Linked DNA regions of Astyanax mexicanus. The protein of the gene in region 2 purifies or fractionates together with the protein of the main gene of each other region. This does not show direct contact. Links are inferred from orthologs where the notes say so. Each region holds a gene or a part of one and is shown on either strand. Other genes may lie near its edges.

Region 1 (7,937 bases), on a different chromosome or scaffold from region 2:
ATTAACAGGCTACGATTAGTGTTTTCCTCAGATCACACTGCGAGTGTGAGAAGTTAAACTGAACTCATTTATGCCCAGAAAGACATTGTCAGTCTGGCATATCAGTATTAGCATGGCAAACTCATCACAGGAAACACATGATATAAAGACAATTTGATGATGCGTTATAAGTCACTGACATAATTTCTATAGTGCTTCTTATTTAGACATTGCTGGAAACAATCAATTAAAATTAGACTCTCTGTAATATACATTTGATTATTGTACTTGAACGACTGAATCATATTCACAATATACTCAATATGTATAGTGTATATCAGTAACAAGATTTATCACAAAACATTAAAATTGTCATACTGTCTAAGCCTACTTATGCTACAATAAAAAAGGCACACTGCATTTTCATACAAAAAGTACAGATGTAAAATTTGCGTTGGAAAGTAAGTAAGTGAGAGATTAAATTATGTTAAAAAAAACTATATACACTATAACATGACAGCAACTACATGTGTATTTTATTCTACATTCGTTATAATAAATGTATAAAGCATTAACACTATAAATGACAAATTACCCCGGTCTCTATCTGCATTACTTATTTTGTAAATAAAGAAAGAAAGCATGAGTATTAGCTCACTTATCCTAAAAAAAAATATCTTAAATCCTGGAGCCAGTAAAACATGTTTTCTGATCATTTTTCTACTACTAAACTGTTCAGTAGCAGAAAAGTAATTATTAATTTCGTATTTGTACCTAAACCCTAGAATTTATCTCTCTCTTTTTACTTCTCCTCAAGTTGTTTCAGCAGATAACATCTTCTTTAACTTGTACTTTTAGGTTACAACACTTATGCTCATCTGTACTACTACTCACCTCTGATCAGAAGCAAAACGGATTCTAAAGGCTCGTTTAAAGTGTCGAGCATGATTTAACGCAGGTGCAGAGTAAAAACACACACGGTTGGGTCTCTGACAAGTCGCTTCTTTTTTTGAGGGAAAAAAGAGTAGTTACCGGTTTCCCGCAGCCCTGCCTGATCTGTTCAGTACTGTAGCTACGGTCCCAGTGTGATCATTGCTAAATAAGGTTTCTTTATAAATGGTGTTTTACTTCAGATGGGAGGCGCGTTGGTCCAAATCCACTCCCCAAAACTAACTACAACTACTCATGATTGGCGTGAAGTGCACAATTTACACGTGTCCTGTAGTGTCCTGTAGAGACCCATCAGCAGAGCAAATGTCTGCTTGAACACTAAAAAGTAATTTACATGTCAAAACAGATGCAAAGACGATAACTAAATAGGTTATAGGAGCCAGATGGTTCACATAGCTACGCTGTTCATATGGTTTTAAAATGTGTTAAAATGTTTCAAACCAACACAGCCTGTTTAGGAAACACAAAAATGTTTGAGTTAACTAAGTAAATAAATAGGTTTTGGCTAAATAAGCAAAATAAGTGTGTGTGTGTTTAAAAACGCAACCTAGTTAACTAGTTAAGCTAGCTGACGGCCCTTATAAGCCTGCGTGGCTCAGGTTAACATGATTAGCTAGCTAACACATGAAGTCTGGAGATAAAACTTGCTAATTTTAAAAGTGCAGTATAGGTCTGTTACACCCAGTTAACAATTCAAATGCTTAAATAAATGTTTGCCGTTCTATATAACTAGTTCTGACCTGATTTATAGAACAACATGTTAATAACAGTTAGGGTCAATAGTTGTGTCCTTATGTCTCATTATGTGTTTAACTTTATAATATTTAGTCATGTGTCCACAATAAGAAACAAACATGAACGAGCTGCTCAAGGAATGTATCAATAAAATACAATTTTGAAAATTGGTATCAGTAACTTACTCAGACATGGGTCTGGGCTCTTTTGTGTTAACGTTTAGCAAGACAACCAGCATTACCAAGCTCTGACTGACCAGCAAGATCAAGCTGGTTGTCCAGCATGAAGACAGAAATTGCACGTATTATTATACACTACGCTGATAAAAAAAAGCTGGTTACGCAGCTCACTCGAACCAAGCTTGGAAATAAAACAGAGTAACTTAAGTCTGTTTTAAGATAACTTACATGGTAGTATATAACTATTCCTCTCTCATGCTATGAATAAAAAAAACTAACTTCAGCCTTTAATGTGTGTAAAAAGTTATTTTTTTTAACTAACTTAATGTGGTTTAGCTAAACTAGCTAGAGTTAGCTCAACTAACTTACCATAAGGTTAACTAGTTACTTAGTAACACAAGTCTGGGTGTTTTAAAGCGGTCTGACAGATAGCTATGTGGTTAGCTAACCTGCTAACAGCCCTTATAAGCCTGTGTGGCTTAGCTTAATATGAGTAGCTAGCGAACCTATAAGCTGGATTTAGGTCTAATAAGCCAACTTCACGCTTCATAATTAATTAGCTATCTAACGCTAACTACATTTAGCAACCAATTTGTACAGAAGAGGACATAGCTGGCAAGCTTAGCAAACTTCATCCAACTCTGCGGACTTTCTGCTCAGTTTGACGGCTGTTTTCCAGCCCAAACGTCAACCGTCGCTCTGAGCTTTCAGAGCCGGGCGCGCCCCCGCGCACTACAAACACACACACAGGGCGCGGGCACGAAGTCAACTCACAGACCTCAGGATCACACGACCCAGCAACCGACTCCCCTCGCACTAAACACGCGCATACACGCACGCACGGCGTAAGACGGACTCACACCGAGCCAGACCGGTAACCAAAGAAGTACCGAACCAGCGCACATGGAGTAAACCTGCATTCCCGCTCCCGGAGCCTCCAGCAGAGCACTCCGGCCTGCCGCTCGGCTCCGGCTCAACTTGATTAGCGGAGCTGCCCTGCTTTATTAGAGCCGACCCGCCGCTGCAAACCTACCCCTTTCAGGCGCTTTATAAGCGCGGTTTTTTGCCCGCTTTTCGCGAGGCCTCGCTGCTCCAGCGCAGCTTTCAGATCCGCCACACGGAGCGAGTGAAGCGGTTTCCCGTCCAGCGTAACATCTTCGAGCTCCGCCATTTTGCCTCCCCCTCAGCTCTCCGATCGCTCGAACTTCGGCCTGACGCGCTGACGTCACGCGCCGGAGCTCTCCGGAAAAAGCCGAACAGCGCGGCGACCACAAAAACAACCACGGGCACCGGTGTCCTGACAAGCTGTGCTACCGTGTCAAACTGCCTCTTACCCTAGTGTGTGTTTAAAGGTGAAAACGCAAAAACACCATATTAGAACATGCTCCCGGCAGATGCGTAGTGTCAGGTAGGGTGTTAAGGATAGGCCAAATTACTGTATCAGATAAAGTAAGGGGCATATGAGGTGATTAGAAACCAGTTTTATATTTAATTCAGTATTCAATTTAATATTCATTCATTTTATAAAAAAAGCCATTTACACTTTTGTAACACTCAAGCAAATTTATATATATCTCAGGTTGCTTAATGAACACAAGAAAAAAAACAGTATTATCGTGAAAAACAGATAAAAACAAAAAAAATGTGAGTTGGCGCATGCGCAGTGTCGTTAAGAAGCTCCTATCGATGGGTAGCATATCATGTTATGATGCAGTTGAGAATATGCACACTTAGTACCAGAGATTTGTGTAGGTGGGTGGAGGAGATTAAACTAACATAAAAAGTTGTGTGTGTCTTAAAGCAGGTAGCACATATTAGAACATGCTCTCGGTAGAAGTGTAGTGTCAGGTAGAGTATTATTATTATTATTTTTTTTTGCCCGCCACCACCCAAAAAAAATGGACAAATAATTTTTTTGTTTTGTTTTGTATGTGGAGATAAATAGGGAGAAAATTGATAGAGAAACAAAGGGAATAAATATAAGTATTTGTGCAATCTGTGTGTATGTGTATATGGAACATTCAGGTACTAGAGGTCCTAGTCTAGATGTATGGGATGGTATAGGTATAACGCCAATGGTGATGTATGTGTCACAGACCCTTTAAAATACGTGGAAAGTTCCTTACATCACTTTATGTATGGGTTACTGCTGGACATAAAACTAAAGCTCCTTTAAAAATCTATCTTTTTCTTTTCTACAGCTCTGTTCCAAACATTTAACCATTCAAACGCTTAAATAACGTATATATTGATGTTGTGTCACTTGTTACATTATGATGTTAACCTTAAAACGTTTTTTTTTACAGTCACATGCCCACAACAAGAAACAAACATGACCAAGCGGTTCAATTAATTGATCAATGATTACATTTTGAAATGAGTCTGGCCTCATATGGGTTAAGATTTAGCTGGTCTACCAGTCGACTAAATCAAGCTGGTCAAGCAAGCAAGACAGCAAGCATTACCAAACTCTGATTAACCAACAAGATCAAGCTGGTTGTCCAGCATGAATAAAATCACACTTATATATTATACACTATATAAAAATTGCTTAACCAGCTCCCCTGACCCTCAAAGACCAGCCAAAACCAACTAAACTAGGTAACAACAAAGTATAATTAGAAACATAACAAAGTAAGCCAAATTAGTGTAAAGTTTTGTTCCTGTTCTTTTTTATTTAATATTATCTTATTAACTTATTAAGCAAATAAAAAATAAAACAAACATTAACATGCATAAAAGTATGTTAAAGTTATTTAAAGCAGCAGTCCTATATATTTTTTATTTTAAAGCAGTAGTGTTCCATAATGGGAGTGCAAAATATTATAATAATATATAAATATTATAATAAATGGCATCAATGTGCTTCTGCTACCATTCCTGTAAATGTATATATATTCTTTTAAAAACATGGTGTCTGGTAGGTCCCGGGATATTTTTAGCTATAACAAAATTAGTGCTGTCAATGGTGCTAAAACAAGAGCTGATGTAAACAACTTAAAAAAGATCACACCACAATACATATTTTAAAAGTACTTTTTTAGCATTACACATTCTCACCAAAACGTTATTCTGGACCTATATTATCATTGTAAGCTTACATTTTCTGCAACAAAATATTTTATTACATATTACATTTTTACACACTAAATTAGATTACATATTCTATCATGTATTTACCCATTAGTTTAAATGTGACCACTTTCACTTTTTTCACAGTTTTGAGGTCTGAATAAAAAGTGTGAAATGGCCAATATACCACAACGATTCAGCAACAGCACCCATTCACAATTACCGGACTGAGTTCCTGTTCCTTTGAATGATAATGAGCTATTGTTCACCACACCCACACTTTTGTCATTTCACTTCTTTCAGCTACACTTTTTTAAGCACTCTTTTACTTTACAGAGTTCACACCTTTCTCTCTATATCGTATACACTGCATGAATGTTCTCTCAGCAATTTGAAGATTACTGTGTTTAAAACCAATATACACTTGTGATGGAGATCATTTTCATTTTCTGCTGTCAGAATATAATATATTTATATAGTCACTGTGGTATGATGACAGTGTAGCATAAAATACCGCACAACCTAAAATAACAATGTTGAACTGCACTTTTGCTGTGTTGCTAATACATAAAACTTTATGGGTTAGGGAGCAATAATTATAATTAAACAGCTTGTAACAAAAGAAGCCAAGCAAGAGATTCAGACTTGATCCATACCATTAAGTGGGTTGGTTTATGTCACAGTGTGTAGGCAATCCAAACGTATAAAGGTAGAACTGTTAAGGAAGCCTAAACATATGATTTGTTGTAAGATATTTTCAGAAATCTGAAAAAATTAAAGGCTGTGTTCAAACTGCCAGCCTTAATCTGGTTTTATGTATATCTAGATTGTATCCAGATTGATAATTTGATAATCTGGACATCCAGAAACCACACGGAACTGAAAACTGCAATTGAGATTACAATCAGATTTTAAGTGATAAGTCTCTGGATGGTTACTGACAACAAGACAAACAACAAATCATCAAATCCAGAGTGATAGAAGGGGCCCAAAAAGAGCTAATACGAGTGTGGATTTATCTCAACAGATCTGATTTCACAAAAAAATCTGATTTGCCTGCAGTATTACCATAGCGTAAATTACTCAAGCTTCAAACATTACATTAAAATAAGTAATAGGATTTTCTTGTCCAACTGTAAACTGTTTAAAATGGTTTTTTTTTCTTCTGTTGAACATTTAATAACTAAACATGGACTGGAAAACTGAGACAAATTAAAGAAATAGAGAAGAGTAGCAGTAAATGAGTCCTTTAATGCAGTGGTCCATAACCCTGGTCCCGAAAGCCCAATCTCCTGCATATTCCCTGCTTTGACACATCCATTTCAATTAAGTGAGGCTTTGTTGATTAATTGATTGAAGGCCTTAGATGGGACAAATCATAGACTGTATATAAAGATGGACGCCGTGTCGCCGTTCCCATTCATTCAATGAAAATGAAGCCAAAATCTTCCGCCATTTTGGCGATTCTGAGACCAGAGTCTGCGCAGTAGAGACCAGAGGAGGGAGAAAGACTGTGGAGAGCTCCTACTCATTTAAATAACCCCGCCCCTGAGGGCTGCCTCGCGGTCACAGGCTGCAGAGCGGAGCTGACGGTCTGTTATTGGTCCCGCCCATAACCAGCCCTTTTACAATAACCACACCTGTTTTGAATAGAGCTGAATAACGTTTTAAAAAAAGAACTCTGTGAGAATATAAAAATTTGACAATATAAGCAGAGGTTACACTAGCTGCTGCATTTAAATAATGGAGGTAGAATTACAGCATATTAGAAAAAAACGTGATTAAAAGTTGTCTGTTTTGCCATTGAAACCTATGGGGGTGGGTGGGGTTACACAGCTTTCTGCAGCCGAACAGCAGGGGGCGCCCGACCTGTGGTGGCTTCACTTTTGAGAGACGATGCTCTGTCCAGCTATATACAGTCTATGGGACAAATGCACAGGACAGTGATCCTCAAGGGGCAGTATTGGGGGCCACTGCTTTAAAGAGTCAAACATGGTAAATATTTAAGCACAGCAGGGGGCGACAAAAAGAAACATTCATGACCACTGCATTTAAACAAAAATGTATTTTGGAAAAATGTTTTATGGTTTTATGACAAGTACCGGAGGATGCCTAGCTACAGATGAAGTGTCCACAAAAGTACCCATTACATAAAAGGTGTTTGAAGAAACCCATTTAAATTTAAAATAAACATCAAAAAATGAGTGTCAAAAATACATTCTGGTACAAAAAGAAAACAAATCTCCACATTTAAAAGCAATTATTAATGTTGCAAAAATGTTGCAGGAAAGCATCCCTGGTCACATGTGCATATATATATGTATTTGTAAAGAGCAACTTAAAGCCATGCATATGTTTGATTAAAAACAAACAAACAAACAAAATAATAAATATGATTACAATGCTTTCTCTAAGGCCAACTAATCTAAGCTTTACAATGGTTTCAGTTGTATTTGAGTTTTTTTCTTAGATTTAAAAACTAGTCTCTGAAAGAGCAGGTCACTCGGGAGAGAATGATACAGGTCATTATGATGAATTATAAATACAATAACCCAGAGATTAATAAGATACCAATTCCAGGCAGGATAAGAGACAACAGTATTCTAGGATGAGAATCTGTTCACACTGCAAGCCAGGATGTGCAGTAATACTGATATGGTCCACATGGTGGCGGTCTGAGACAGTGCACAAGGCTGCAGTTGTAGTTATGCACTTTGTGTGTTCAGGAATTAAGAGTTCAGCCTTGATATATGTTGTTAGCATAAGCAGACCAAACAACATGTCAGTGCATGAGCATACAGATAACAGATAATACTACAGGGAAGCAAGGGGAACAATACAGTCAGCTCTTTCATCACAATGAAGAAAAGAGCTAATTCTGACAACAAAGATAAGGTGGTCAAAAAAAAGACAAATGGAAGACAAAGTGAGGAATTAAGGTTTCCTGGTATTGTGCTTTAGTCTCATCTCTATATTAAGGATGTGGGACAGAGCTGTACAAAAAAACATGAGGGCTCTGCT
Region 2 (7,275 bases):
CAGGGTCATCGAGTCATCTGCACCCTTGCGCCCAGATACTGTGTTACCGATTTCTTTGACCCTATAAAAGCAAAGCAAAAATTCTAAAATTATTATATATCTACAGTCTACACGCCTCAGTCAGACAACACCTAGGACTGTAGATAAAAAAGAAAAATGTATTAAATAAAAGGATGAGTTCACATAAAACTGTGATCATACTAAAAATCTATCTACAGATGACAAAGAAATGGTTCAAAACTAGGTTTAACTGTTACAAATAAAATGGTGTTCAGATGCTTTGGGTTGAGTTGACTCATTGAGTAAATAATTCAAAACATAGTTTAAGCTCATGCGTTCATATCACACGCTGACCTCGTCCACACACCCTGGAGTTACTCACACACTGGATTATACTTAAGAACACGGGTTTGTGACTGAAAAATTGAGAAATAGTGCACTAAACGAGTCTCAGAAGAAACTTTGAAGGAGAGATTTTTATTGTTTTCCACAATTAACCACAGATCCTAAGCAGAGAGTGATGGTGCTGCAGTTTTTAAAGCAATAGGATTTATTTCTAGCTAAATATATGTTATATAACTTTTTTTTGGTACAAGCTCAGTTCTCAGTCTGTGGGAGGTGCCGGCAAGCATTGTAAGATAGATAAACACTTCAGAAATGAGTAGCGTTTTTTTAAATGTTTTAGATTAAAATGATAAAATGTCTATGTAAAATCACAATTACTCAACTTTAAAAAAATCGCATTAAAACTAATTTAAATTAACCAAATTAATCGTGAAAATCGCCCAGCAGTTCTGAAAATACATGCTATTTTTTTCTCTCCAGTGACTGTTCTGCAATATGTTATTGATCCAGGGATTAAGACTGCAGTGCTTCTGATTGAACCTTGTTTTCTCAGTTCAGATGAAGACCTGGAGCAATGCAGGGGCTGTTTGGAAGCACGCGTGTTACTCAGTAATATAAGTAATTTAGGGTCTATTTAGCTTGTTACACTACTTTCAGCATTCAGTCCACCATTCTATTGATCTAACTCGCTGAATGTTTCTCAAAAATTGGTTGTAAATGCTCCAAATAATCAAGTCACTGTACATGAAGTGTGCACACGGGCAACTGTAGCAAAGGCAGTTAAAACCACTAGATGCTTTAAACTGTGGATATTAAACTGTTCAAGGGTTCTGTTCAAGAATGTTGACTGTGGCAATAAGAATGAAAAATTGAAACAGAGACACAAAAGGCTGAAACGAGAAAATATATACTGCACAAAACAGAACTGTCCTACATTACCTGTAGCCTGGTCTTTTAGGGTCTGGATAAACAATAGCAAACCCGAAGTGTGTGCCTTTCTTTCGAGCCTCAGGATAAACCTCCTTTACTAGACTGGTCAGCTCTTTCAGGGTGGCGTCCATCCTGTTTTTAAACACACACAAGACACAAGAGGTGTTAAAGCCAGGAGAAGATTTGAGATCTCCTCTTATGACTATTATACTTGTTGCTAAAGGTTATTAAAGTCAGAAAGAGAGAGGGAGGAAATGAGCTGAAGGAAATTGTCCTTAAAATGTAGTGGACTTTCATTCGTTAATATTTCTTTGTGTGAAAATAAATACTTTGATAATTTTAAATTAGAACTATTTTTCTATATATAGTATTTAGGTCATATAACAACAATAACAATAGCTTGGGCATCACTTTAAATGGTGCTGTTTGTCTACAAATAAAAAACTGAAGTTGTTATGTGCAGTATATTATTTGAAGAATATTGAAAAAAAAAAGAAAAATGGTAATTTCTTTGATTATACTAAATTTAAAAGCCTTTGAATATAATCAAGAGGAAGATGGATGAGCACAAGCCATCAAAATGTATTTTTTTCACCAGGAGTGGCATAAAGTTATCCAAAAGCAGTGTGTAAGACTGGTGGGGGATAACATGCCAAAATGCATGAAAGCTGTGATTAAAAACCCAGTGTTATTCTACCAAATATTGACTTCTCAACTCTTAAAACTTTAGGAATATGAACTTTTTTTCTTTGAATTAAGTCTAAATGACAATCTTTACAATAATTACTATATGGCCATAATTTATAGAATAAAACAACAACAAAGTTAATTTTAATCAAACATATACCTATAAATTGCAAAACCAGAGAAACTGATTCAGAAACTGAAGTTATCTCTTCATTTTTCTAGAGCTGTATATAGATAATTAACTAGGTTATATCGCCCGGCCCTAGTTACAGACAGTCAAAACCGGACATAAGAACGTTCACTCACCAGGTGTAAATCTGAAGCTCGCTTGATGGTACATTTCCTCGGGCAAACTCGTCCATTCTGTGATGCCTCCCATTATTTGTGGTGAAAACTCTAAGCAGCAGCGGACACGTCTGTACACACACACACACACACACACACACACACACACACACACACACACACACACAAAAACACACACACACACAAAAACACACACAAAAACACACACAAAAACACACACAAAAACACACACACACAGTCAATCCATGCTAGCTAGCTAGTTAGTTAGTTAGCTAGCTAGCTAGCTAGCAAACTGGATTTATCCAGCAAGTTGAATTGGCCGTGCTTACAGAGGAACTATTAAACATCAAAATAGACGTTTCAGAGCTAATATCCATCAGATGGTTAACTAATTTACTCCAAAAAAGTTTAAATATTAATTTATTAGTTAGCTTTAGCAGATTTTAGCTGGCTGATTCTGTATGAACCAAACTGCAGCGGGATGCTAGCGTTAGCTCCACACTACCCCCTCACTAAACAAACTAATGTTCAGCGCTAACAAACCTTTTCTCTATCGACCGGCTTCTCCGGCTCCTTCTTAATTTCCTCCTGGGTCACCCTCGACTCCACAGCCATCGTTGGAACCCTCTTTCTCTGACCAGAAGCTCAGATTTAAGCTCCTCTAAACGCAGCGCTCTCGCTAATTCAGGTTCGCTAGCTTTAGCTGCCTCCCCGCCGGGCGCTTGAGGATGACCCGCTGTAGCGACCGAGCGCCTCGACCAATCACAGCGCTGGTGTTCTGTCGAGTTGTGCTACCCATTGATATGTGCTACTTAGCGGCTCTGCGCGTGCGCAAAACTCTAATTTTTACTGTTTTCATGTTTTTTTCCAAGAGTTGGGTAACTCAATTCCAGAAAGTAAAAATCCATCCCAGGGTCCCATGTTTTTAATCACCTATATTGCCTCATCTTTATCCTGATACAGCGATTCAGGCTATTGAAATGTCATATCGACACTTCTCATGCATGCAGCATGTATTTTTACAGTTAAACATACAGTATGGTTGCACGGTTTGACAGGGTAGCACAACTCGACACAACACCAGAACCGGGGCCCCACGGATGACGCGCTCCGAACCCGTCAGTGCGTTTGTATGGCAGTCCCCCCGCCGCCATTTTGGGAGTCAGAATATCAATCAGTGGTGTGTGTGTGTGTGTGTGTGTGTGTGTGTGTGAGTGAGAAAAAGACTGGAGCCCCGCGCAGCTCCTGGCGCTCTGTAACATGGTTCACACGTGCGTGGTGTCCGGCTGTCGGAACAGGAGGACCCCCGGCACCGCGCTGTCCTTCTACAGGTTCCCCAGAGACCCCGAGAGGAAGCAGCGCTGGATCGCCGCGGTGAATCGTGAAGGCTGGATGCCAAACGAGGGCAGCAGACTCTGCAGCACCCACTTCATTTCAGGTAGAGGTTCAGCAGCTACAGCAGCACAGTTACCTTTACTGAAACAACAGCATGGCCACACCAGGCTGGTAAAGATGGTTGACCAGCATAGGATATGGTTGAGTTTGAGTTTAATAATTTGGCTGGCCTGGAAGCATAGATAACCAATAAAACCAAGCTCAGCCAAGCTGATACAAGTCAACAACCTTGGTGAATTTGGTCATACTGTTCCACCAGTTTAGTCATGCTGGTCAGTCAACTTGGTCAAGCTTGGTTATATAGGCTATCCAGCTTGGTCAGAATGATCATGCTTGCAGACCAGCCAAAGTATTAAACTCAAACATAAACTCAAACCCTATGCAGGTCAAAAACTAAGCTGGTCAACCTGCTGGAGCATTCTGAACTGGCCTTGCTGTTTTTTTTTCAGCAGAGATAACAGCAAGACCAGTATAATGAGCCAGGACCAAGCCAGGAGACCACCAAGACCAAGCTGGTTGGTCAGCATAAGCAACAAAACTAAACTGGTAGACCACCAAGCCCAGCATTACCCGCAAGACCAAGGTTGTTGACCAGCAAGACCAGTGTAGTTTTTTTGGACGCTGGTAGACCACCAAGCCCAGCATTACAAGCAAGACCAAGCTGGTAGACCAACATGACCATCAAGACCAAGGTGGTAGACCAACATGACCATCAAGACCAAGATGGTAGACAACCAAGCCCAGCATAACCAGCAAGACCAAGCTGATAGACCAACATGACCATCAAGACCAAGGTGGTTGACCAGCATAACGGGTCAGACCAAGGTGGTAGACCAACACAGCCATCAAGACCAAGGTGGTTGACCAGCATAACGGGTCAGACCAAGGTGGCAGACCAACAAGACCATAAAGACCAAGGTGGTTGGCCAGCATAAGCAACAAAACTGGTTGGCCAGTGAAACCAAGCTAGTAGACCACCAAGCCTAGCATTACTAGCAACACCAAGGTGGTTGACCAGCATAACCAGCAAGACCAAGCTGGTAGACAACCAAGCCCAGCATTACCAGCAAGACAGAGGTGGTTGACCAGTATGAGCAACAAAACCATGCAGGTTCTCCAGCATATTCTGCGAGACCAAGTTGGTTAACCAGCATGACCAACAAGGCCACACTAATTGACCAGCATAGCCAAGCATGACCAAAATCAAACAAGACACACTATGCAGGCAAGAGCTGGTTAACCATTTAGCTTACCAGTCTAGAGTATATTTTCACCTGTCTGACCAGCTTTTCAACCACCTTAACTATCAAAGACCAGCTTAGACCGTGTGAAACCAGCTACCACCATTTCTGATATTAAGCTGATTTTTCTAAAGCAAGGATATTACATTTATACCTCATCTTTAAATGTGACAGCTTATGTTGAAACAACATATTTATTTAGTATGGTTTTATTGTCTAATATTTACACTCTTTGTCCATATCACAGGTAGACAAGTAAAGAACCCACGGTCTCCAGACTATGTTCCCTCTGTTTTCACTTCAGCACCTCTGTCCCCGAATATAAAAGAAGCCAACGCCTTTGAACCCTATGACAAACAAGAGGCGCAAGTGGAGGCTGCTAATGCCTTGCTTTTCCTGCAAGGGCAGGGGCGTCTGAAAGAGGGCCATAGCCATAACCACTGTCAGGGGGATCCAGAGAGTGCAGCCTCTTCACTAAACAGCTATGATGAAGAGGAGGAGGACGACGACGATGATGACGACGATGAGAGGGAAGAAGAAAGTGTATTAGAAAGCGAGGACCAGATCAAACAAGAAATACCACTGAGAAACATTTGCACACAGTCAGTCAACTATGAGGCCAGTCTCAACGCCCTGAGAAAAGAGAACATTGAACTGAGGGGGTCCTTAGCGAAGATGTCCCTCACGGAAACCTCGTTCCGGAACGATCCAGAGAAAGTTCAGTTCTACACAGGATTGCCAAACTATTTTGTGTTTGAGACTGTAATGTGGCTGCTTGTACCACATATGAAGGGAGACAAAAATGCCAAGCTTTCAACATTCCAGCAGTTACTTCTCACGCTAATGAGACTTAGGCTTGATCTTAGGAATCAGGATTTAGCTTACCGTTTTGGAGTTAAAGTTGCAACAGTAACCAGAACTGTTCATCGAGTCATCAACATAATGTTTACCACTCTGGTACCCACAGCTGTGTATTGGCCGTCAAGGTTGGAGCTTCGGAAAAACCTTCCTGCTGCTGTGAAGTGCTCACATCCAGACTGTGCCGTGATAATTGACTGCTTTACCGTGTCCCTCGAAAAAGCAGTCAGTGTAGATGTAAACCCTCATTGTGCAGCATCAGCAGCGGACATGGTCCCTCAGTCTCCTCACAAGGCATTTGTCAGTGAGCTCAAATATGTGATTGGTGTTGCCCCTCAGGGTGTTGTCATGTTTGTTTCCAGGGGGTCACCAGGGAATGTCAGCGATAAGACTTTAGTACAGAGTAGTGGTCTCCTATGTAAACTCCTGCCTGGGGATGTAGTATTGGCTGAGAGAGATTTTGACATTAGAGACTTGGTCAGTGCTTGTAGGGCTGAGCTTAAAATCACTAGTAGTGATCATCATGGTGAGATCTTTACAGGTGACCAACATTTAAGAGAACAGGCCTCTCTGGTCACTGTAGAAAGGTTGAATGTGTATAATCATGTGGGGAGGGTCATACAAATGGTCAAGAAAAGATATTCTATGCTCACTGGTCCAGTGGAGAGTCCTTTTACAGTCCTAGACCGTAGTTCAGGCGTGACCACTTTTGACAAGATAGTACAGGTTGCCTGTGCCTTAAACAACCTGTGTATATCTGCTGTCCCACTAGAGTAGAGTAAGGTAAATTTGTGTACACATTTTGCATTCATACCGTTTCACTCCATATTTCTCATTCCTTTAATTGATTCCATTAAGGCTTTATTCCATTTAAATTATGATGCCAGAATTTTCTGCTTTCAGGTAGACAGTTTAAACTGGAACAGGTCTCCACAGGTCGGGTTCCAAAAGGAGATGGACCATCTTAGATGGTCGAGCAAGCTTCACACTGAGCACTCTCTCTCTCCACGTAAAGATGTATTAAATGCTAAAATGCTTTTGGCAAACTGGGTCCAAATTTCCTACTGAGTAGTTTGGAAGAGTCTCACTAATTACAGAATTAAGAATCCAAGATGGCTGTACCATACACAAACAGTAGTACTTTTTTTAGCACTTCTTTTTTATTTGTCTCATTAAGTTAGTTGTGCAGTACTGTCTAACTTCCATCTGTAAACAGACTGTATCAATGGTTAGCAGCTGGTATCACTAAAAAGCTAAAACCATAACCTGGTAAACTCAGGTAAATAACTGTCAAACCAGTTGTGGTAAACTTTTTAGCTTGCCGTCAGAAATGTTTTGAAATATTATACACTTTCCTCATTTACCATGTTTAACTGGAACGCTGTCAACTCTGGTGTGACATCTCCAATATCTGTGGGGAAAGGGATGCAGAATAAGTATCTCACCATCATAAGCATGTTGTGTAAAATTATGGCTGCCCATTGTTTTTTGTGTTTTTTTTTTGCACTTAATT

Evidence for each region. Proteins that work in one complex are often made in the same cells at the same time.
Region 1: the proteins of sap18 (region 2) and acin1b fractionate together in Homo sapiens (co-fractionation; 7 studies listed by BioGRID and IntAct, with this or other methods). This does not show direct contact. The link is inferred for Astyanax mexicanus from reciprocal best matches to the Homo sapiens genes SAP18 and ACIN1.

The regions. Positions count from the first base shown.
Region 1 is NC_064415.1:17,425,937-17,433,873, reverse strand, and holds the start of acin1b (apoptotic chromatin condensation inducer 1b), read right to left. Parts: upstream 3,050-7,937; 5' UTR 3,016-3,049; coding exon 2,878-3,015; intron 1,021-2,877; exon of another isoform or gene 874-1,020; intron 134-873; exon of another isoform or gene 23-133; intron 1-22.
Region 2 is NC_064418.1:25,416,751-25,424,025, reverse strand, and holds the start of sap18 (histone deacetylase complex subunit SAP18), read right to left. Parts: upstream 3,039-7,275; 5' UTR 2,884-3,038; coding exon 2,812-2,883; intron 2,379-2,811; coding exon 2,269-2,378; intron 1,408-2,268; coding exon 1,285-1,407; intron 62-1,284; coding exon 1-61. Other genes in the region: uncharacterized protein LOC103025519, read left to right, coding at 3,529-3,706, 5,152-6,539. UniProt on the Homo sapiens protein: Component of the SIN3-repressing complex. Enhances the ability of SIN3-HDAC1-mediated transcriptional repression. When tethered to the promoter, it can direct the formation of a repressive complex to core histone proteins.